Linked DNA regions of Caenorhabditis elegans. The protein of the gene in region 1 interacts with the protein of each later gene in a pairwise test. Each region holds a gene or a part of one and is shown on either strand. Other genes may lie near its edges. The genes, in order: rabn-5, csn-4, twnk-1 and rfl-1.

Region 1 (5,382 bases):
CGAATTGCTCATAAACATGGTATAAAATATTAAATCTAAAAATCGAAATAACACAAAACATGCCCGTCCATTTCTTGGTTTTTAAGTCAAAGTATCCCAATTTCAGGTGTTCTTTCACTTGGAACATTCATCACGGAATGGATTCCAGGATACGATATTTGTTCGAAAATCTTGGAAAATGAGGGTTCGGTAGAAAAAACAGTGGACTGTCTGGTGGCTGTTGCGAGATTTTTTGGATTTGATGGATGGTTGATTAATATTGAAAATAAAATTGATGCAGGAAAAATCGATTTGTTGATTCAATTTTGTTCGAGTTTAACTGAAAAGTCAAAGAAAATGAATGAAAATTCGAAAGTGATATGGTATGATTCGGTACTTGATAATGGAAAGTTGCATTGGCAAAATGAATTGAATGAGATGAATCGGTTAGAATATTAGAACTGTACTGAAATATTAATATTTTTAAGAAAATTCTACGATGCTTGTGACGCCATCTATCTCAACTACAACTGGAAAGATAAAGAACTTCTTCGATCGGCTGAATTTGGAGTTCTTGATCGGATCTTTGTTGGAATTGATGTATGGGCTCGTGGTTGTGTTGGAGAATTTCATTGTGATCAGTCATTTGCATTGGCAAAACTTTTTCACATGTCAGTTGCTCTTTTTGCACCCGGATGGATTTATGAAAAGTTTCCTGAGGAAAATCAAATTTGCAAAGGAATTCAGTAAGGTTTTTTGAAAATAAAATTGAAAAATCAGAAAAAAAAGACTACAGTACCCCGATAAAAATATAAATTTATAAAAAACATAATTTTTGAAATTTAATTTATTTCCAACTAGAAAATTCTACATTAGGATTTTTTTCAGAAAAATTCCACAATTTAAGTTTTATTGAAATTTTAATTTAATTCCAGCTTCTGGTCCAAACTTCTTCCACACATCCGAACTCGTCCTCTAACTTCTATAAACTTTGGCACCAACTTCTGTACTGGAATGGATCAAAATTGGCACTACCGCCTGAGCACAGTGCAGCTTCAGCCTCAAATTTTAAGCTCCTTCTGCCACCAAGTAATTGACTCTACAGGACTCACTCTTTTTGGCAGAAATCGAAAATTTCTGTAAGTTATGAACATACAAAAATTTACTCATTATAATTTTTTCCAGACTATTCACTTTCGATTCTGTCAACTACAGTACCCTGACCATAACTTGCACTACTTCCAATTCAATTGACCTGCTTCTGAATAGATCTGAAATTATGGACAAAACCGGAGATTCCACGTGGCATATTGACAAGCCAGGAAATTTGGAATCCATCAGCATCTTGACATCAAGCAACGACGAAACTGTGATCGAAAACTTTTCCATTGATTCTAATTAAATAATTCTAATTTCATAAAAGTCAATAAAACAAATTTTAATGCACAATTTTAGATCAATTTCTGGTATATATGTACGTATATAGAATAGATTAAGCATTGTACAAGAATTAAAAGACTAGACATTCTAGCACACGGATGATGCACATATAAAATCGGGAAAAGGTGGCGAAAGTGAAATTGGAAGGGCGAGTTGTGGATAATCAGCGACAGAATAAGCATTCCAGATGAATTATTACTTATCCTGCGTTGCAAAGAATGGTTTTGTATCCCGATTGAGCAGTGTGTGACATACTTTGCACACATTGGCTGGTCGATGATTTGGTCCACTTGGAACGGTGTCTTTCAGGCAGTTCATGCAGAATATCCGACCACAATGAAGACAGCTAAAAGATTTGAAAAATAAAAGTGACTGAAATATTCCATGAAAAAGTAAAATAGTGCTATCTCTTATTTTTCGCACTTTTTTAAAAATTTTTCCTTATAAAAATCTGCTATTTCTGGAAAACTATGCGTGATTTTTTATTTTTCGAAGCCTTTTTTTAAAAATATTTTAGGTCGTTTTAAGAAAGGGTACCGAACGCTTGATTCATAATCACTATATATTTTTTTTCTTTTTAAAATCTTCTGTTTGACATATTTTAATTGGAAAAGTGTAAAATTTATTTTTGAAAATGAAGAAAATAATTTTCTTGTAATTTTTTATCAGAAATTCAAACTTCCATTTTCAAAAACTTACTGAGGTTTAACTTTAACTCTAGCAAACGATGTATCACAATTTGAGCATTGATCTACATCATCATCCCATTGCCATCGTACTTCTTGTTCCGACTGTCGAATCTTCTCCAATTGAATTTGGAGGCTTTGAGATAATTTCACAAAATCTCTCTGCACAACTTCAGATGTGTCGAGTTCTTGTTGAAGACTTGTGCACCGTTGCTTGTAGTTCTGTGCCGTCTGTTCAACAGCGGCTCTCTCATTTTGAACCTGCTGAACCTGCGTCTCAAGTTCACCGACAGTTGTTTGAAGATCTCTAATTTGTCTGATATTCGAATCTTGATCTGCAATTGTTTCCGATGCAACAACCATTCGAGTGTTGATCTTTCCTAATTCCGACTGCAATCTGCTGATCTCTGCAGTAAATGTCACTTCCTGATCTTCTCTGTGCGCTCTTTCTTCTAGAATCTGAGCTCGCAGGACGGTGATCTCATCCTGCAGCTGCTGCTCGGTGTGCTCTTTTGCAGCTCGAGTTTCTATCAATTCTTCCCTATTCTTGAGACAAATAAATTGTAATTGATCAAGATCAGCTGGCATATCGATTTTCTCGGACCGAAGTTCTTGTGCTGATTTTCGTGTGGACCCGAGAAGCTTTTTGTACTTTTTTCCTAATGTAACAAAGTCATCGTCGGCTTGTTGCAGTTTGTCACGAGCCAAATTCAATTGATCAGTGAATACTTCTATCGATTTGTCGTGCTGAAATTAAGCTTTTTTAAAAGTTATTCTTTTTATTTATTTAAAATACCTTCGCACTGAGCTCGTCCAGCCGCTGCTCCGACTTGGCATTTGCCTTTGCCGCCTCGTTAACCTGATTCAAACAATTAGTCGATAATTCGTTCATTTTCTTTTCCAATTCTTTTCGATAGTCTCGTTCATTGCTCAAATCCAATTGATATCTTTCGTTCAACTCCATTGCCGCCTTCACTTCTTCCTTTAACTTTCGTTCGTTTTCCTGCAAAACAAACAAAAATCATTTGCATATTTGCCGTGTTCCCATGATTCTCACCTGTAATGCAGTCAAATTCACTTCATAATTCTGGCACATTTCGCATTGAAGCGTTGGATTCGGTGAGACTTGCGAAATCTTTTTGGACGGTATTGGCGGCTCCTGAAATTTAAGGGTCTTTGAATTATCGATTAAAATGCAACACTCTTACCTCTGCATTCACTCCGGCAGACACTTCTTCGCTAGCCGACGGTTCTGTCATTTTTCTAGAAAATTCTTGATTTATTCGAAAAATATATGAGTCATTTGATTAATTAAATAAAAAAGGTCTCATCACAATGTTGGCAAGGACTAGGTTGAAAACCTAGGCCATTTGGTGACACATTTAAAGAGCATTAAACATAATAATCGAGCAGTTTTAGTATTAATTTCATTAAACGACTTCCAAGAGAAAAGTAAATGTTTTCTGGAGTGAAATAAACATATTTCATTCTGTTGAGTTATGAAAATGTTATTATATGTTTAATTTATTTTTTATTCATAAAAATTTAAAAATTTGTAGTAAAAATCATTCTATTTATAAACAATATATCGCTCTGAAAAATCAAGATGAACAAAATTTTATATATAAAATTTATAATTATATTCAAAGTTCAGAACATTTCCAGCTATTGTAGTTTTCTTTCCAGGACCCAAAAAATGATTTAAGCGTTGCGCCTTGAATACAGTACTACTCTACGTTAAAAATTGTTCTTTTCTTCTTTTCGATTTCTAAAATTTTCCGACGTTTTTTTCCTGTCAATTTTTTTTTCACTAACTTTCCTCAAATAATTCCTGATCTTTTCGCTTTTCTCATGTCTTCTCCATTATCTTTTCCTTCATTTTTGATTCTTTCTATTAGAAACCTTGATAACTATCACTGATAACGCATTTTTGATAATCAGCACCACATATTCTTCTCTCGAACTTTCGCCCAGTAGAAACTAACCGTTTATCGCTTATAGAAAATCATTCCAGATTCAAATTTTATGCAACATTTTGTCTTATCTTTTTTCATTTTCACTCCGATGGTAGTAAAATATTGGGCTCAATTCATTTTGAGTTTGAATCATGACAAAGAAGTCGTTTCGAAAAAATCGTATTTCCGAAAAATTGAAAGTAGTGTGCGGCTGCTATCCAAAACATGAAATTGAGCCCAATACCAGCTATCAACCCAAAAAGGTTTTCACTATTCTTTCTTTGTCTTTTCATAAATAAGTTTATTTAATTTAGATGGCCGCTGCTCTGAAACCAAGTGCTCCGGAGATCCGCAAAGCTGCACAAGAGTTCATCAACTATCTGAATAAAGCAGTTACTCCATTTCATGGTAATATTTATTATTTATTTTTATATTCAAAAGTATATCAATTGCAGCCACCCAAGAAGTGAAGGATCGCCTTCTACAAGCCGGTTTCACAGAGCTTCCAGAATCGGGTCACTGGGACATTCAGCCAACCAGCAAATACTTTGTCACCAAGAACCGCTCTGCAATTCTTGCATTCGCTGTTGGAGGATCTTACAAGCCAGGGAGTGGATTCTCGATTGTTGTGGGACACACTGACAGTCCATGCCTCCGTGTCAAACCAATTTCCCACCAAAAGTCTGATAAATTCCTTCAAGTTGGTGTATCAACTTACGGAGGTGGAATCTGGAGAACCTGGTTTGACCGTGACTTGTCGGTGGCTGGATTGGTTATTGTCAAGAATGGAGAGAAACTTCAACACAAGCTGATCGACGTGAAAAAGCCAGTTCTTTTCATTCCAAATTTGGCGATTCATTTGGAGACCGACAGGTATTTGAAATTTGTCACTATCGTCCTAATTTTGCAATTTATTTCTCAGAACAACATTCAAACCAAACACGGAAACTGAGCTCCGCCCGATTCTGGAAACCTTCGCTGCTGCTGGAATCAATGCACCACAGAAACCCGAGTCTACTGGTTTTGCCGATCCACGAAACATTACCAACAATCATCATCCCCAATTCCTCGGATTAATCGCGAAGGAAGCTGGATGTCAGCCAGAAGACATCGTTGATTTGGATCTCTACCTTTACGATACAAACAAGGCTGCGATTGTTGGAATGGAGGATGAATTCATTTCTGGAGCTCGTCTTGATAACCAAGTTGGAACATACACTGCGATAAGTGGACTTCTCGAGTCTCTAACTGGAGAGTCATTCAAGAATGACCCACAAATTCGTATTGCCGCATGCTTCGATAACGAGGAAGTAGGATCGGAT
Region 2 (5,731 bases), on another chromosome or scaffold:
AAACACCTATAAAGCTCTTACAAAAGACGGGAAATTGCTCGCCGGAGCCGGAGCCGTCGAAATTGAGCTCGCCAAAGAAATTGAGTCGTTTGGAGCAAAAGCACCTGGTTTGGAGCAATATGCAATCAAAAAGTTCGCCCACGCACTCGAAACTCTTCCAAAAGCTATTGCTGAGAACGCTGGAATGCCAACCACTGAAACTCTGACAAAACTCTACGCGGAGCATGTTGCTGGAAAGAAAAACGCTGGAATTGATATCTGGAAGCGGGGTACGGCTTGAAAAAACCCAATGAAAGCACTGAAAATTCGAAGAAAATCGAATTTTCGGTTTAAAATCTGACAATTTAGGTCGAAAAATGACTGGAAAACTTTAATTTTTGACTGAAAATTCAAAATTTTCTGCTGAAATTTACCGAAAACATTTCTAACTGAAAATTTGAATTTTCACCGGAATTCCGCTGTTTCTGCTGAAAATCTAACAATTTCGGCTGAAATTCGCCGAAAACCTAAATTTTCCACTGTAAATCCAATAATTTAGGTCGAAAAATGGCCGAAAAACTTGAATTTTACCTGAAAATGTGCATTTTTGACTGAAAATGTGACCGGAAACATCAATTTTCTTTTGTTTTGCTTCACTTTTTTAAAGTTTTCTTCAGTTTTTGCATTAAAATAACTGATTTTTCACAGCTGGAAACCCTCACAAAACCCGGAATTTTCGCTAAAAATAGGCAATTTTCAGTCAAAAGTCAACTGAAATTCTTCCAAAAAACGTCAAAATTTCCAAAAAAAATCCCCCAATTCCAGACAACACATTCAATTTTTGCTAAAAATTCCAAAAAAAAATATCAGCAAACTGACAGAAAATTTTCAAGTTTTAATCAAAATTGGCCAATTTTCCTTTTGAAAAACCTCAACTTTTCGGTTCAAGCTCAGAAAATTAGCTGAAAATCCGAAATTTTCAACTGAAATTTCTTTAAATCAACTCAAAAATGCAAAAAATTGAATGAAAAAATCGAAAACTCAGCCAAAAATCGGCCATTTTCAACTCTGAAAAATGCCAAATTTTCAGGTAAAAATTCCTCAAAACCCCCCGAAATTTTGGCTAAAAATGTCAATTTCCAGCGCATAAAACTTGTAAATTTTCAATCAAAATTCTGAAAAATCCCGAATTTTAAACTAAAATTCCTTCTTTTTTTTCAGAAACAATGGACGCCGTCGTCAACAACATTTTCGACCTCTACGCTGGAAAACGACTGGCAATTAAGCTCGCCACAGACGCCGCCAGCACAATTCTCAAAGTTGATCAGATTATTATGTCAAAGCAGGCGACTGGAGGACCAAAACCACGTGGACCAAAGGCTCAAGATGAGGATGACGATGGAATGGCCTAATTTTTTTGTGTGCATTTTTGCTGAAAAATTGGGGAAATTTGAGTGAAAATGAGCTGAAAATCGATTTTTCAGCGAAATTTTAGACAATTTTCCCCCACTTTTTCAGATTTTCCCCTCGAATTTCCCCGCCGTTTCCCTGGGAATTGAGCTGAAATTGCAATTATCTTGAAAATTCGCTTAACAGTTTTTAGCTCATTTTCCACCATTTTTCCCCGTATTTTTTAAATTTTCCCGCTCTATATGCCTTCTCCGTATGATTTTTTGCAATTTCCCCGTTTTTATTGATTTTCGCTGGAAAATGAGCTGAAAATTCGATTTTTGCTTAAAAATTAATTTTTTTTTTTTAACGCGAAAATTCAGTTCCAAATTTACTCGATTTTGGTCAAATTTAGCTAAAAATTTGCATTTTTCAGCCAAAATTTTCCAGTTTTTGCCAGAAAATGGGCTTAAAATTGTCATTTTCTTCTGAAAAATCGAACTTTTGCCCCATTTTCAGCCGAATTTCAGCCTTTTTCCTCCAATTCTCCATAATTTTTAATGCTATCCCCCAACCCGTTCTGAATCTGAAAATCACAGTTTATGATCTTAAAATTGCGCCTTAAATTCTATAATTTTCAGCTTTTCCCCCTCGAAATTTTGTTTTTTTTTCTCGTTTTTTGCTTCACGTTGTGTTTGTTATAAAATTCTCCAAAAAAATCACAAAAAATTAGAAATTTTAAAGAAAAAATAGTCGAATTTCCTATATTTTTATCTGAAAATTCCCCCCAAAATTTTGTTGTAAAATTTCCACAATTTCAGCTGAAAATGAGCGGCGAAATTGAACGTTCACAGGAGGTGGCGGTCATTTTTGCACAGGATACCGATCACAAGGCTCAATATGAAGCGTAATATTTTTGGATTTTTGAGAAAATTTGGAGCTAAAAATGTGAAAATCTGGAAATTTTTAGCAAAAAATCCCAAATTTTTGTATTTTTCATTGGAAAATCTGAATTTTGTAAATTTTCAGCTGAAAAAATATGAAAAAAAAAAAACGATTTTAGCTATGTAGAAATTTTGAAAAAAAAACGAATTTTCACGCAAAAACATTTCCTAATTTAAAAAATTAGTAAAATTCGCGAAAAATTGAAATTTTTATCTTTTTTTTCCAGAAAATCTGAAATTTTCAAATTTTTATACTTAAAATCTGAAAAATTCTATTTAAAAACTCAAGTTTTCATTTATTTTCTACGAATTTTGAAATGAAAAATTCTTACAAATCCCGCACTTTTTTCGTTCAAAAATTGGAAAAAAACTAATTATTAGCTAAAAAATTTCCAATTTTTGTATCAAAAAACTCGAAAATTCTCAAATTAAAAAAATTTTTTAATTTTTTTGCTGAAAATCACGCTAAAAATTTCAGCTTTTTCACGTAAAATGTGATTTTCTGAAATTTCATGTAATTTTTTAGCTAAAAAGCCGAAATTTTCTCGATTTTCAGACAAAAAATTCCCCGATTTTTGCAGATTGGCGAAGCTTTGCAACAAATATTTGCCACAAAATGCGATGGGACGAGTCGATACGGCGGAAATTATTAAAATCATTGATACAGGTTGGAACACGACGAAAATTTCGGATTTTTCAGTGGGAATCTGGCTAAAAATTACGAAAAATGATGAGTTTTGGTGAAAAAATGGACGAAAATCGCTCAAAATTGGACAATTTGGTTGGAATCTGGCTGAAAATCGATAAATCTCGATAAAAATTGACGGAAAACGAGAACATTTTCGGAATTCCTGTTGAAATTTAGCTGGAAATAAATAAATTACATTGAAAAAAATTTTTTTTTGAATTTTTGGAGCTGAAAATTGGCAGAAAATCCGATTTTTTCAGGAAAAATCTTTAAAAATTTACATTTTTTTTTACAAAATGGACTCAAAATTAGCTTAAATCGCTCAAAAAAGGCTGAAAATTCCATATTTTAAGTGAAATATTTTAAGTGAAAAATATGGAATTTTCAGCCTTTTTCGAGCGATTTAAGCTAATTTTGAGTCCATTTTGTAAAAAAAAATGTAAATTTTTAAAGATTTTTCCTGAAAAAATCGGATTTTCTGCCAATATTCAGCTCCAAATCCAAAAAAAAAAATTTTTCAATGTAATTTATGAATTTTCACAAAAATCCAATTTTTCGTTCGTTTTCTGCAGTTTTGTTTTTTTTTTTTGAAAAGTTAAAAATTTCCTTTAAAAAACGCGAAATTTCCAATTTTTCACGGTAAATGTGATTTTCAGCCAGTAGTTTTCAACCGTTTTTTCGCGGGAAAAATTGAATTTCTAAAGATTTTCCTCGAACAATTCGATTTTTCCGGTATAAAAAGCGACCTTTTACCGATTTTTCACAGAAAATTCAGATTTTGAGCCTTTTTCACCCTCAGAAGCCAAAAAAAACCCCCAAAAATTGGATTTTTCTTGAAAAATTTGAATTAAGAAACTCAAATTTTCAAACCGTTTTTCCACGGAAAAAGTGCGTTTTTCAACGATTTTTCTCGAAAATTCTCAATGTTCTGCGTTTTTAAGCGATTTTCAGCTGATTTTTCACGAAAAAATCGAGTTTTCAGGGATTTTGATATATTTTTCTTGAAAAAATCGGATTTTCAGCTGTTTTTTCCACGGAAAAAGTGATTATTTAACTTTTTTTCCAGAATAATTGGATTTTCAGCCAATTTTAGGCTTAAAATAGGGCCTTTTAACGAAAAATGTGACTTTTAGGACATTTTTCAATTTTTCGCATAAAATTAAATAAAAATGGAATTTTTTTACCATTTTTTTTTCAAATTTTCAGGTTCAAAATAAAGCTTTAAAAAAGTGGAAATTTCTAGTTTTTAGGCTTAAAATAGGCTTCTTAGACGAAGATTTTCAAGCTTTTCGTTAAAAAAAACAGGAAAAAATTAATATTTGTATAAAAAAATTGAATTATCAGCTAAAAATTACAATTTTTGCACTGTTTCAGTGCAAAATTTGTATTTCTTTTAGAATTTTTAGCAGCCTATAACCCCAAAAATGTTTGCAGTAATCGCATTGGAGACTGGAAGTATGGTTGTATCACGTCAATTTGTATCACTTATCACTGAAAGATTGGATAATCAACATTTGGAATCAGAATGTGTTAAGGCTATTTCAGAAGGAATTTTGGCGATTATTAAGACTCGAACCATCTCTTATGAGGATCAGGTACTTGGAAATGCACTGCAACTTTTTCCTCACGAGGGACGAGGAACAGTGGTTTCTAGGCCATGGCCGAGGGGCCGACAAGTTTCAGCGGCCATTTATCTTGCTTTGTTTTCCGCCTGTTTTCTTTCGTTTTTCACAGCTTTTTCCCGTTTTTTCTTATTAAAACTGATAAATAAATATTTTTTGCAGATGATAAAACAATTTCGAAGTAAAAAAATTATGTATTCAGTGGGCAAGCAGCGGTGAAAGTGGGCATTGTAATATGATGGATTACGGGAATACAAAACCTAAATTTTTTCTGAAACATGATACATATGATGCTTAGATGCTGAAGCTACCTGATTTTCATATCAAGACCGCTGAAAAAGTTTTGAGGTTTCCAAAATTCAACTTTTTGTGCGAAAATCTCGACTTTTTCACCAAAAAAGTTGAATTGTGGAAATCTCAAAACTTTTTCAGCGGTCTCGTTATGAAAATCAGGTAATTTCAGCATCTAAGCATCATATGTATCATGTTTCAGAAAAAGGTTAGGTTTTGTATTCCCGTAATCCATCATATTGCATTGACCACTTTCACCGCTGCTTGCCCACTGAATACATAATTTTTTTACTTGGAAATTGTTTTAGCATCTGCAAAAAATATTGATTTATCAGTTTTAATAAGAAAAAATGGGACAAAGCTGTGAAAAACAAAAGAAAACAGGCGGAAAACAAAGCAAGATAAATGGCCGCTGAAACTTGTCGGCCCCTCGGCCTTGGCCTAGAAACCACTTTTCCTCGTCCCTCGTGAGGACAAAGTTGCAGTGAAATGGAGCATTTTGCAGAAAAAATTGAAAAATTTGAAGAAAAACGAACGATTTTATGGGATTCTGCGGAAAATTTGAAGATATTTGAAAAAAAAAATTCGGAATTTTTGGAGTTTTTTAGCAGAAATTCAAAAAAATTTCGATTTAAAATTCAGGATTTTATGTGATTTTTCGGAAAAATTTTCAATCGTTTTTTTTTTCCGATATTTTGGGCTTTAGGCTCAGGCTCAGGCTTAACCCCTTATTTATCGAGAAAAACGTTATAAAATTGAAGAAAAATTGAAGAAAAAGGGCAAAATTCTGGAAAATATCGAAACTCTTTTCAGTTTAA
Region 3 (7,101 bases), on another chromosome or scaffold:
AATTTTTCCAGCCAAAAATAAATTGCCAACGCCCATTTTTTGAATAAATTTGTTTCCTGAAAACGCTTTTTGACAGCTTCTCAAAACTAAACACACGCAAACTCAATGAATTATGTAACGGCTTAGCACATATCTTCGTCAGAATTGCCACTTATTCAAGCTTCTTGTCGTTTTTCTAGAGCTGTTCAAATATTCAAATGTTTTTTTTTTCCAGAATAGTAATTCTTCTCGGGCTGACAGTATTTGCCGTTGGTCATGATAACAATGAAACCGTCTGTGATTATGTTCCAATTGTAAGTGCAAGTTGTTAATATTTAAAAGAAAACCTTTAATTTTTTACAAAAAAAAATTACAGCCACAAATTCGGATACTTCCCACATCTGCTCCGCCTCATCCTGCACCTCCACGAAAAAACATGTGACAAATTTTGATTAATTTTTTGTTTTCGATTCTTGATTTCCAATTTCGCTTTCATTCAACATTTTTTTATTCTCATCGTCGAGTAATGAAAAATTTATTTATTTGCAAACTACAGAAGCTTTGTGTTTTCGCGGTAGTGTTTTCGAGATCGGACAAAATAGGGAAAGACGTCAGAATAATATGTGACCTACGGAGGGAGAAGGTGGATGAAATGGGTCAGGAGAAAAGGTATATTTCTTCATCAAGTATCAGCGTAATAGGGAGAAAGGAAAAAGCAGAAAAATATATTTAAAAAATAGAACTGAATAATGACACTCGAAAAACTTGGAGAAATTGTAAAATTAATTTGATTAAGAAGAAAATTTTACTTTGGAAACTCTACAACTGTATGAGAATAGGTGGATGGGTTGAAAACCATCTCAAGTTGATCGCTCTCCACTCGTCGGCCATAGTAGCGGTTTTTCAGAATCTGTAATAGAATCCTGGATGGTCATATCATTCTACTAGAAGCTTACGTATAAGAATTTTCGGAACTTGGAACGGTCACGATCATCACGCTTCCGCTGAATAGCAATGACATTATCAGCTTCCTGGGTGACTCTGGCGGAACCTCCAAAGTGTTGCACATCAATTTCAGTATCACCGTCAGTTTTTCTGGGATGAACAACCATAGTGATGTGAATTTGATTCTGAGTAGCAAGTTGACGCATGTATCCGACAAATCGATCCTGAAAACGAAGGTTCAAGAAGATTTATATGTTTAGAGGAGGACTAAGGGTTTTGGGTTTTTGCATGTACATATATTTTCAAAATATGAACAAATTTTGTAATGATACTCAACAAACTGGTTAATGTTTTTTTGGAGAAGTGTCATAATATTTACGAGGTCCAGAAAAACACCCTCTTGATAGCAGTTGGGCGGTCGATTTTTCAACTTTTTGCCATTTTGCTCCCAATTTTTGGGATATCCGAATACAATTGTTGACACAGAGGTTTTTTGTAATGCTGAATCCGATTCCCATATTATTTTCCTATTAAAAAGTTCCAAAATGCCCTAAACCGCTCAAATGGAAGGGGGGTCCCAGCAATTGGGCGCACTGTAGTTTTTCTCCTACTAAACCAAATGTTCCCATTTCTTGTAATGTTAGTTTATGAACCAAAACTGTAAGTTGATGTAAAAAGAAATAACCTGAAGGTGGAATCTATCAAGGCCACTTGACTTCTCATCTGCCATCATTCCTTGGTTAATCAAAAACTGGAGATTATCGATGACAACATGTTGGATACCACTGTTTTCAACGTGAATACGAATTGCCTAAAATGGTATTTTATGATTCAAACCCTGCTCCACTATTATTACTCTGACTATTTCATTTATGGACTTCTCCATGAACTCTTCGGAGTCAAGCATTGTCAACGCCGAACTCGATCTCTCGAATCTATCCAACCATGAATTTATCGAGTTGCTATACTCTACTCGATGCAGCGGAAGTCTGAACCAGATTGATTGGGAGTTGTGTATGGGCTACGGATGTCTGGGCACAATCAGAATAAGCATGCCAACACTCATCCACATACCCATTTCCGTTTCCTTGAACAAACTACCGTGCAAAAACACACTTTCAAGATAATCGACAATTGCCTCGCGCACCACGAAAAGCACTAGCTAGTAACCAAAATGAGCAGTGAATGAGAAATGAAGATGTTCTACAACTCAAAACTGTGAGGTGGTAAAATAAAATAAATAACAGGTCTAGTTGGCTACTGGTTTCATAAGGAAATTATTGAAATAGTTTTTGATTCACTTATTATATTCAAAAACCAATTTAGAAAAAACAAAAACTATTCCAGATAGATCCTAATACTTCTAAATATTCTTACTTGATGCCATTTTTATATGAGTTAGTGCGCGCGAGGCTTCGAAGATGTGAAGGACTGCAGACAAAAACAAATGTTAGTTAAAAAGTTGCAAGCCATTGAAAAATAAAATAGAATAACAATAGAAAAAACACTAGATCATCATACCCAGCGTATTGCACAAGCATCCAATGGAGGATCTTCTTTTCAGGCATCTCGAAACTGCAGAACAGCGTGCGCACCTAGAATTAAACCAGAGATATTAGAAAAACTCAGCTAATGCTAAAATTTAAAATACCCCTTGAGTAAATAGATCCAATGAGTATTCACATAAAAATGTAGTTTTTCCGTTGCCGGTTCCTCCGGTTAAAACTGTCATCTCCCCTGGCCGAAGCCCGCCAAGATACTTATTCAAAACAGCAAATCGTTTCCACTGAAACAAATTATTTAGACCGAAATTTATCTTTTTTCCTTTCGTCTTACTTGTCCAAATCCAACAACGCGATTTGTCGAGTTGAGAAGGTCTGAACGGATTCCTTCACGCATGTCTAAATCTGTCATTGAACGGAAACCACGCTCTCTCATTCGAACCACCTAAACTATGAAAGTTGAAAAAAAACAAGAACAAAATGGCAACAGTACCGAGTTAGATAGTGAGTTCCGAATGAGCCGATGATCACCATTACGAACCAATTCAATTGGGCGTTCTTCGTTTCTGAACTTACTCTTTTGGTTTTGTTTTCCGAACGTTCTCTATATACTAGGGCTTCCAAGCAGGCTCCGGAACGCCACCTGTCTTACGCCGCAATCCGCGCCTTCCATGATAGTCCTACTGAATACCATAAACTCACTTCACAAGAAGACATTTGAGGGTGTTCAAAGCACTTCCCCAGTCTTTGGCATAACTGACATGCTGAACCGGGAACCACAGATAGATCTTGTCAAATTCCTCCAGATACGGAAGCACGAGTGGATCCAAAATTTCTCCATGTGGTAGAGCAAATACCAGAGCTTTGGTGGCTTCGTAGATCGCCAAAGCATCACGCTCATTTGTGGTAATGACTACACTTCGATCTGACAGAGTTGCCATATGAAGCCCGAAAACTCCATTGAACTTTTGGCGAACGCTGGAAATGGGTAACTATGAAGGAAGACATCGGAATTTCTACTTACGAAGTTTCATCTGGCAGTGGATAGTTCTCCTTTTCCATTCTGTCTCCAACTTTACGGATCAACTTCAAACCCATTGGAATGCGTAGCCGGGAAGTCATTCCACGATACCGTGGAAAAAGAATGGCAGGTTGACCATAGGTGTCGGTTTGGACACGAACGTTGAAACGAGCAAGAGTTTCGAATGAAATGTTCTCAATTCCAAGCATCCCTTGGAGTTGCTTGAAAATAGTGAAATCGTGGCCACTCAGATCAGTTATGTCTAAACTGCTGTCCCAGTAGCGCTGAAAACGGAAAAAGCTTTTTTGGGAGTGAAAAAAAATTCGAACCTTGATATCCGGATCTGGAGGAGCACTCATGGCTTCTGAAGCGTCAAGTCTTGGAGAAGGCGCGTCAGAACTGAAAACGAACCAAATGAATTTATTTATGTTAAATTGAGCTCAGTCAAAAATTATGTTCATATTTCAATTAAAGTTCATATCGAAGATACTCGACTGAAAATGAATCCAAGTGTCAAATTACGTAATAAGACCTTTTGAATACTTTTCAAATATTTCGAGGGGGGCTCAAACGATCTAAAAATATGGCTAAACTAAGATTGGTAACTGCAATTATATCTAAATAATGAACAAAAAGCGAGAGATATGCAACTTACAGCAATAATCCTAATATCAACTCTTTTGCAAAATGTTCAAAAAACTTTTACGATGGAATTTGCTTTTTGAAATCCATCTTATAAGTTAACACCCTCTTTTAGAGCCTTCAAAATTAAGATTCAATTTTGCATTCAATTTTGCTTGAGCTCGGTAAAAACGATTTCATCAATATTCAAAAAAAGCGTATGTGAAATTAAATAAGATTAACATAAGCACAGGATGCAACACTCAACACTTTCTAAACCTGAAATCAAAGTCTGCAATCTGATTCATCGATTCAGACGCTGTCACCGATCTTCCCGTCCGGGGTGCTTTTCTCTGCCGTAGTCGTCTTCCGGTGAAATATTCGTCGTCGCTGTGATCAAATGGAGCTTCGTCGGGGCTTGGCAGAATTGTATAGTCATCCATATCAATCCATGACACTGCTTTAGAGTTCAATGGTGGTAAAAATCCACTACTGGACGAGGATGGTGCTTGATGGAACTGATTTTCTAGAATTCGACGCGATATTATTAGAAGTGGGGGAAAAGCTGAATGAATGGGGTGCCAGGAACTTGAGCAGCCGGAAAAAGTGCCAGAAGTGAAAGGTTCTGATGTTTACAAACCAGTCACGATGGGTACAAAACAGAAAAATGCGCAGGAGAGGCACCCCGCAAACAATAATAGTTCCCCCCACCCTAAAAAATGCTATTGTGCTCGTCCTTTGGCCCCCATTCTTTATGATATTCGACAATTACACAGCTTATTTGGCAGGAGCCCTCACAATTGCTGGCTAGAGACGTTTTGGCAAAAGTTGTTAGATTCGACAAGTCTGCGCGGTGTAAAAATAAAAACATGGTGGCGGAACTAGTAATTCGGGAAAATTTCAGGTGTTTTCCAACAAAAAAACTGCATCCGTTTCCAAATTTTTTAAAAGCATATTAGCACAAGGGAAACGCAAATAGAATGCTTAAAGACATACCGACTGGATACCCATTATCTTCGTCTGAGCTTGAATATAAATACGATTTTTTTGACATCCTAGATACCGGTCGGGACTTTGAGCGATGCATTGTACAGTAATAGATTTGAAAAAACCAGCAAATGAAATAGACAAGTAAGTTGCAACTTGAATCAGAGTTCGGATCGAATCAATTCAAGTGCAAGTGAAATTGACCTCGGGTTAATCGGGGTGGTTCGGAGCAACGGGGCGAGAGAGAAAAAAGGTTGGCGGGGGCACCGACGCCGTACACCTCACTTTTTCGAGCAATAATCCTATGGTTGAGTGAAGGTTTGGTGGAGCAAAAATGCTCTTAAATAGAAAGCTATCTTCGACTTTTTTGTGTGCTGCTTCTCCTCCTCAACCTCCTCGTTCAGACTCGCTTTTATGTTGGGGCAGCGTTAAAGGCTTCCTGGATTTTTGGTGGCTCACTAAATCGAGGTGCCCCAAGTGCTTTCATTGTTTTTCTCCTCTTCTCGTCTTATATATCTTTAGATATTACGAAAAATAAATTTTTTTTGGAACGAAGTGAACCGGTTTACTTTTGTTAGGTTTGGCTATTTTCTGAGGCAACAGTATTTTTTGAAAAAGTATATTCTGGGGGAATACAAATTAAAATTATACTTCCTCACAGTTACAGATTCACATTTTGGAAATTTTCAAACAAAATTTCAAAATCAGAAACTATCAACCAATGAATATAAAAACAGCACAACATCATTAAAAAACGTGAAAACCGAAACTTCCATGAAAACCGAATATGACAACTGCTTGGCACACTATTAAGCAAACAAAAAAGACTTCTTCTCCCGGAAGTCACTTATGTGCATGTTTCTGGAAAACATGACAAAAACTGGACTTACTCATCGCGGAACTTTCCCACTTTCGATGTCTTCTTCCGAGTATCGATTTTGTCCATCAAATTCAAATAGCTCACACGATCGTAGAGATCCGAGTCGAGCTGAAAAAAATTTGAAAAATACAGTACCATTTCTAAGACTTACTTCGTCTTCCATGGTTTTGAGCTGCAGTTTGCTAATGGTTTTTGACAAGGTACCTGGAAAAAATAAAAAAAGATGTTTCAAGGAGATCTAAAATTGGAAAAAAAAACTAGGGAATAGTTGCCAGTTGTCGTCTAAAGACTAAGACAAGAAAATGTCTCATAGGACGGAATGATGGGGGTGGGGTCGAATGGGATAAGAGAAGGAAGCTCAATTACTTGTATTGTCGACAGATACACCTTTCGAGACGGAAGGAAATGTACAATCGTTTGAGCAGGGACGGAGCCCAGCTATGATTGCACGTACCAAACAATTTTTATACTCCATCCCACAATGTATATCCATCATCTCAAAAGTATACATTCCGTCTTCCTCCTCCTCCTTCTCTTTTTACTCCAACATCTCCCGACCATCATCGTTCTATTATTTTTCCCGTTGGATTGGCACGAATTGGTATACCCAAATTGGTACACTTCTTACGACTAACAATGAACCCGTCACATACCTTTCCTTTTTCTTTTAATAGTATGCATCAAGGGATGGAAGGACTTAGATTGGGAATCGAAGAAGAAGCAACGTCTGCACTTTCAGGATTCCTCTGAATGCCGCTCCTTGTTTGTTCTCAACCGCACTTCCTAGTCTACTGTTACTTTTTTACGCTCCATGGGTCACACGTGTACAAGATTGTCTGCGACCGTTGGACTCGGTGTGGGGGCTCGATGGCAGGAAAATTGCTGGCTCGCCGTGTAGCAGGAAACACCAAACTACGACAAGTCTAGGTATTCAAAAAATATGTTGCTGTCAAATTTTTTGAAAAGAACAGCTTGATAAAGTTCTCTTTCAAAAACCGTTTTACTGTAAATCATTGAGCTTTTTAATTATAAGTTATTTCCTTCAAGAGATTGCACTTCTTAAAATGTTCGCAAAAATTGTATTTCAAACTCGGAAAATTCAATTGTTTCTTTTTCTGATTCAATTCAATAATTTCTATTCATTTGTGATCCCAAAGGCAATTAGA
Region 4 (5,226 bases), 1.2 Mb from region 1:
CGATATAGTGCCTTTCTGTTGTTTGTTCTATAAATCATTCCATCTAATTGCACACAAGTTTTATTGAACAATTCAAGAGTTTAGGCCTTGTAGCTACGTCCTGGACATGGACAGTATCCAGCGTCTGGTCCTGGTTCTCCTGGGCCTCCGTGCTGAAATAAATTACAATGAAATTTGAAATATGAAATATCATAAACAAACCTCTCCGCATGTTCCACTCTTTCCTGGAATTCCTGGTCTTCCTGGAACTCCTGGATGTCCAACTGGTCCTTGATTTCCATCTTCTCCAGCTCCTCCTGGATTTCCTTCTGGTCCTGGTGGTCCACGGGGTCCTGGTGGTCCGGCTCTTCCGGCTTGTCCTGGACGATACTCAGTTCCTGGCTCTCCGCGTGGTCCTGGTGGCCCTGGACGTCCAGCTGCCCCTGGTCGACCGGCGTCTCCCTGCTCTCCTGGTCCTCCTTGTCCTCCTGTTGGTCCTGGTGGTCCGTGTCTTCCTTGATCTCCAGCTGGTCCTGCTGGTCCGACAAGTCCTGATGGTCCTCGTGGTCCTGGACGTCCTGGTGGGCACTTAATACATCCTCCTAGAAATTACTCAATTTAAAAACAAGTCTATAACACAGTAAAGATACCTGGAATATCGTGAGTAATTGCAACAATAACTCCTGGTGCACCAGGCTTTCCATCATCTCCATCATGTCCTGGCTCTCCACTTTGTCCACCCTCTCCAGGTGGCCCTGGTGGTCCTGCTGGGCATCCCTCAGACTTTGGTCCACAGTTACATTGTTCTGGATAAGCTTGACGGGCCTTACGTGTTCCGAAAAGAGTCTCGAATGTTGGTGGATGAGATTCGATTGTTTCTTCGTCGACGCCACCTGGATAAGTGTGTTTTGTGACGATCCTTTGCCAGGTGTCTTTAGTAATGGCGCGGAATTCAAACATCTCGTCATCGAAATCAGATTGAAGTTGTTTGATGTCAGTAAGAAGACCCATCATGGTGTAAAGTGCCACGAAGACACATACAAGCATGGAGGCGGACCCCGCCCAGATGAGTGTATTACTCATTCTGAAAATTGATGCGATGTGTCTCAAAATCATGCGGAATTAAAAATAAGTTATTTTCTTGAATCACCGTGGCGGGACCCACTTTAAAATTTCAGTGGGTCTCGTAACGCTCAAACCGATTTTAGCGGACTTCTCAAAATAATAGAATAAAACAGATGAAGACGAGTTATACAAATTATATATTTCTAGATAAATCAACAAATAAATAAAACTAAAAACCAAAAATTAACTTTCTTTGCGTGTATCCAATGGTTTAAGTAGTCATCCTTATCAGATCGTCACGTCCTGAACCACTCAATAATTTTCAATTTTCCGTTTACTTCTCCGAATGGTTCCGCCTGTTTTCCGATCACTTTTCGACGACGTCAAACCAGTTAGCATTTCTCTGAAACTCTCCAGTAACCAGTATCTTTGTCTGTTGCTATCGAACATCAAATTGTGTGGCAATCGTTTTTTTTTCTGGAAATACTTCTCTCGCCTATCTGTTACCCTCTTTCAGGTATCAGGGGCGGAAAAGAAAGTGAAAGTTTGCAGAAATTCAGTAAATGAGGGTTCTATATTAGTTTTAAGGGAATTTGAGAGTAATTGGAACTTCAGTTTGCAGTCTTCAATCTTTAAGAGCTACCGTAACCCTATTTCAGTGAAGAGTCTACTGATACCGTTGCGGGCCCATTAAATACTTAATCCAAAAATTAATTAATACTTTGTCGACGCTCCTTTGATTAGACGATGTATTTTTGCTATTCAACTTCCCTGATTGAGAATGCTATCGATTAGAGAGCCAAATGGCAGTAATCCCCGAGAGATTGTCTGTCATCACTGCTGCGTTTAGAGACACAGGTGAGCAGAACAGTACGATACTCCGCTATTCCGAAACGCGCGTTGTTCACCGTAAATCGACATTAATTTGGCTGGAATTGTTTTAAAATTAGAAATTGTTTTATTGTTGTTTTATTCTTTAATTTTCACCTCTCGTTATTATTTCATTAAATTATAGTTTTACATCGTTCGTTTTGAAGCGAGATTATATTTTTAATGGAATAAACCTAAAATGTTGTTTATAAATAATTCTTATGAAATTCAAAGAATTGTCATTTTTTGAACAATAGTGCGAATTATTATTAATTAAACAACAAAATTTATACTTTAAACGTTCCAATTTTTTCCTTGTAATAAAAAATAAAATGCGACACTAAATAAGTATTAGGAACTGTAAACATGCTTTACAATGTATAATCTATTTTGTTTACACCACAAGGAAAATTAAATATTCAACACTTTTAAGCAAAGATGGTCAGCGTGGATCCATTGGCAACGGAGCGTTGGAGGAGCATCAGAAGATTAACAGATCGCGACTCTGCATATAAAGTTCCATGGTTTGTTCCCGGACCGGAAAACTTTGAAGCACTGCAAAACACGAAGATTCTTGTTATTGGTGCTGGTGGATTGGGTTGTGAGTTGTTAAAGAACTTGGTTAGTTAGAATTCAAAAAAAACATTAAAAATAATGCATTTTCAGGCTTTGAGCGGATTCCGAACAATTGAAGTTATCGATATGGACACAATTGATGTATCAAACCTAAATCGTCAATTCTTATTTAGGTATTAAAAAATTATTATTAAATTCGTTCTGTCAAAAAAAAACTTTCAGGGAATCTGACGTTGGAAAATCAAAAGCTGAGGTAGCTGCTGCTTTCGTTCAACAAAGAGTTGTTGGATGTCAGGTGACTGCGTAAGTGTTGTGGTTTGATAGTCTTTCCAAACAAATTCAGAATTATTTTAATTTTATTTCAATTTTCAGGCACAACTGTAGAATTGAAGACAAGGGTCAAGAATTTTATCGAAAATTCTCTATAATTATCTGTGGACTTGATTCGATTCCAGCCAGAAGATGGATCAACGGAATGCTGGTAAAATTCTTTCTAGCTCAAAATATAAATTAATTTATCGAATTGCAGTGTGATTTGGTTTTGGAAATGGCCGACGGAAAACCTGATGAGAACACAATTATTCCAATGATTGACGGAGGAACTGAAGGATTTAAAGGAAATGCTCGTGTCATATATCCGAAATTCACAGCCTGTATTGATTGTACTCTTGATCTTTATCCACCTCAAGTCAATTTTCCATTGTGCACAATTGCTCACACTCCTCGACTTCCAGAACATTGTATTGAATACATTAAAGTAGTTGTTTGGCCAGAGGAAAAACCATTTGAAGGTAAAAATTTACAGAAAAATCGGTGAAACGAACTTTAATTTTAGTGTTATTTTTAAAGTTTTTTCTGGAAAAAAGTTATATTTCCAGGTGTTTCTCTTGACGCTGACGATCCGATCCACGTTGAATGGGTTCTCGAAAGAGCAAGTCTTCGTGCAGAAAAATACAATATTCGAGGTGTGGATCGTCGTTTGACATCTGGAGTTCTAAAAAGAATTATTCCGGCTGTTGCATCAACAAATGCAGTTATCGCTGCATCATGTGCCCTAGAAGCTCTGAAATTGGCCACAAAGTATGTAAGATCACATATTAAAACTCTCAATATTCAATTTCAGCATTGCCAAACCAATCGATAATTATCTTAATTTCACTCAAATTCACGGAGCATATACCAGTGTTGTTTCAATGATGAAAGATGACAATTGTCTCACTTGTAGTGGTGGGCGTCTTCCATTCGAAGTTTCACCATCTTCAACTCTTGAATCGCTTATCATCAGACTCTCGGAGCGTTTGTACGTTCTCCGTTTGTTTTAGAAAACAAATTTCAAATTTCAGCCATCTCAAACATCCGACACTAGCGACCTCAACTCGAAAACTTTACTGTATTAGCAGTTTCATGCCACAATTTGAACAAGAAAGCAAAGAAAATCTGCATACTTCGATGAAAGATCTTGTTAGCGATGGCGAAGAAATACTGGTATCCGACGAAGCATTGTCTCGTGCACTTACACTACGAATTCAGCTCATCTAATGCATTTCTTCTATTTCACTTTTGAATGTCTCGGGTAAAGTATGCCTGTGTTCCATGTCAATAAAAATAAAATCGTTTTTAAACTCAAAATATTTACCTAAAGAAAATAGAAAGGAAAAGTGAACTGATGAAAATACAACGAGCAATTGAAATGGAACGAGAAGAGGGACCCTGTGAATGACAATTAAAGTATGAAAAATGTGGCAATAATACAGAAAAAATAGAGACGGAGAATGACTAGATCTATAGATAAGACAACCGATGTGAGCTTTCAGAAATCATTAAGACGTGCGAGAAGATCGTCTGTTGATGGCACCACTGTGCCTGATGATGATGATGTAGCCGTGTTTGATGATGCAGGACCAGATGAAGTTGACGAGGAACCCGTCGGATCGTTTTCTTTGTGCGTTGGTGAGATTTGCGATGTTCCATTGATATTCTGAAAGTTAAATTTCGAAAAGTTTCCACATATAAAATATGTTACCGTAACTGGAACAGCTGGTTGCCCTTTCCTTCTCACTCGAACTTTGAGCTCATTCTGACCAATCGGCAATCCAACTCCAAATGCTTTAGCCCTATCAAGCGCCGTTGTTGGTTTTACTGATGATGGAAGTTCCATATTTTGTCGTTGCAGATCATTTTGAGGAACGTTGCGTGATCGAGCAAACTGTCCGGAAAGAACCGGTTCCGATGCGCAGCCAGTGAGATCTTGAAGCTGACCCAAAGCATTCTGATGTCGTGATCTTTGCCGATCAAGTCCTCCTCCAAGTCTTCCACCTCCGCGAGTTCGAGCTGGCAATCCGGAACGAGGAGTTCGAGAATTTGTGGCAGACATCAAGGTTTGAAGGAAATCAGCATTTCCTGTAGCACGCTCCAACTCATCGAGCACACCAGCCTTATCGGCAGCTGAAAAAATTATATTAAAAAACAATTTCAAAAATATCAACTCACCAGTCGAAACTCGAATCATCGCAGCCGGAGTTCTTGGCACTCTATTAATCGCCTGTCTCTCTTGTAACGGCTTCCTTTCTTGTTGAGATTGTTGCAGCTGCTTCCGCTTCTGTGTCTCAAATTCTGCTTCTTTTCGTTTTGCTTCTGCTTCGGCATCCAACTCTTTCCAAGCATTCGAATATTGCTCAGAGAAGGTGCGAATATCGGCGAAAAATTCTTCCATCGGATATTTTTTGTCGTTAAATG

The links.
Region 2: the proteins of rabn-5 (region 1) and csn-4 interact in a two-hybrid assay, tested with the Caenorhabditis elegans proteins (one large-scale study listed by BioGRID).
Region 3: the proteins of rabn-5 (region 1) and twnk-1 interact in a two-hybrid assay, tested with the Caenorhabditis elegans proteins (one large-scale study listed by BioGRID).
Region 4: the proteins of rabn-5 (region 1) and rfl-1 interact in a two-hybrid assay, tested with the Caenorhabditis elegans proteins (one large-scale study listed by BioGRID).

What each region holds. Positions count from the first base shown.
Region 1 is NC_003281.10:5,862,539-5,867,920, reverse strand, and holds rabn-5 (FYVE-type domain-containing protein), read right to left. Parts: upstream 3,369-5,382; 5' UTR 3,365-3,368; coding exon 3,314-3,364; intron 3,265-3,313; coding exon 3,163-3,264; intron 3,109-3,162; coding exon 2,902-3,108; intron 2,853-2,901; coding exon 2,119-2,852; intron 1,766-2,118; coding exon 1,615-1,765; 3' UTR 1,382-1,614; downstream 1-1,381. Other genes in the region: eng-1 (mannosyl-glycoprotein endo-beta-N-acetylglucosaminidase), read left to right, coding at 1-19, 107-425, 468-725, 915-1,118, 1,165-1,381; dnpp-1 (Aspartyl aminopeptidase), read left to right, coding at 4,213-4,323, 4,375-4,468, 4,516-4,933, 4,983-5,382.
Region 2 is NC_003282.8:1,083,472-1,089,202, reverse strand, and holds the start of csn-4 (COP9 signalosome complex subunit 4), read left to right. Parts: upstream 1-2,189; 5' UTR 2,190-2,195; coding exon 2,196-2,275; intron 2,276-2,893; coding exon 2,894-2,979; intron 2,980-4,434; coding exon 4,435-4,595; intron 4,596-5,731. Other genes in the region: cct-8 (T-complex protein 1 subunit theta), read left to right, coding at 1-269, 1,201-1,391. UniProt on the Caenorhabditis elegans protein: Component of the COP9 signalosome complex (CSN), a complex involved in various cellular and developmental processes.
Region 3 is NC_003284.9:5,790,741-5,797,841, reverse strand, and holds twnk-1 (SF4 helicase domain-containing protein), read right to left. Parts: upstream 4,512-7,101; coding exon 4,348-4,511; intron 4,245-4,347; exon of another isoform or gene 4,106-4,244; intron 4,037-4,105; exon of another isoform or gene 3,916-4,036; intron 3,847-3,915; coding exon 3,777-3,846; intron 3,732-3,776; coding exon 3,451-3,731; intron 3,405-3,450; coding exon 3,129-3,404; intron 2,993-3,128; coding exon 2,920-2,992; intron 2,872-2,919; coding exon 2,761-2,871; intron 2,711-2,760; coding exon 2,576-2,710; intron 2,520-2,575; coding exon 2,446-2,519; coding exon of another isoform or gene 2,419-2,445; intron 2,356-2,418; coding exon 2,302-2,355; intron 2,288-2,301; exon of another isoform or gene 2,144-2,287; intron 1,914-2,143; coding exon 1,781-1,913; intron 1,736-1,780; coding exon 1,610-1,735; intron 1,149-1,609; coding exon 936-1,148; intron 890-935; coding exon 785-889; downstream 1-784. Other genes in the region: F46G11.4 (Inner membrane protein), read left to right, coding at 215-293, 356-421.
Region 4 is NC_003281.10:7,019,538-7,024,763, forward strand, and holds rfl-1 (NEDD8-activating enzyme E1 catalytic subunit), read left to right. Parts: upstream 1-2,347; 5' UTR 2,348-2,352; coding exon 2,353-2,535; intron 2,536-2,580; coding exon 2,581-2,663; intron 2,664-2,712; coding exon 2,713-2,793; intron 2,794-2,862; coding exon 2,863-2,971; intron 2,972-3,019; coding exon 3,020-3,281; intron 3,282-3,368; coding exon 3,369-3,570; intron 3,571-3,613; coding exon 3,614-3,790; intron 3,791-3,833; coding exon 3,834-4,029; 3' UTR 4,030-4,115; downstream 4,116-5,226. Other genes in the region: col-8 (Cuticle collagen 8), read right to left, coding at 81-152, 202-581, 630-1,062; cyk-1 (WAPL domain-containing protein), read right to left, coding at 4,301-4,468, 4,514-4,935, 4,981-5,226. UniProt on the Caenorhabditis elegans protein: Catalytic subunit of the dimeric rfl-1 (uba-3)-ula-1 E1 enzyme.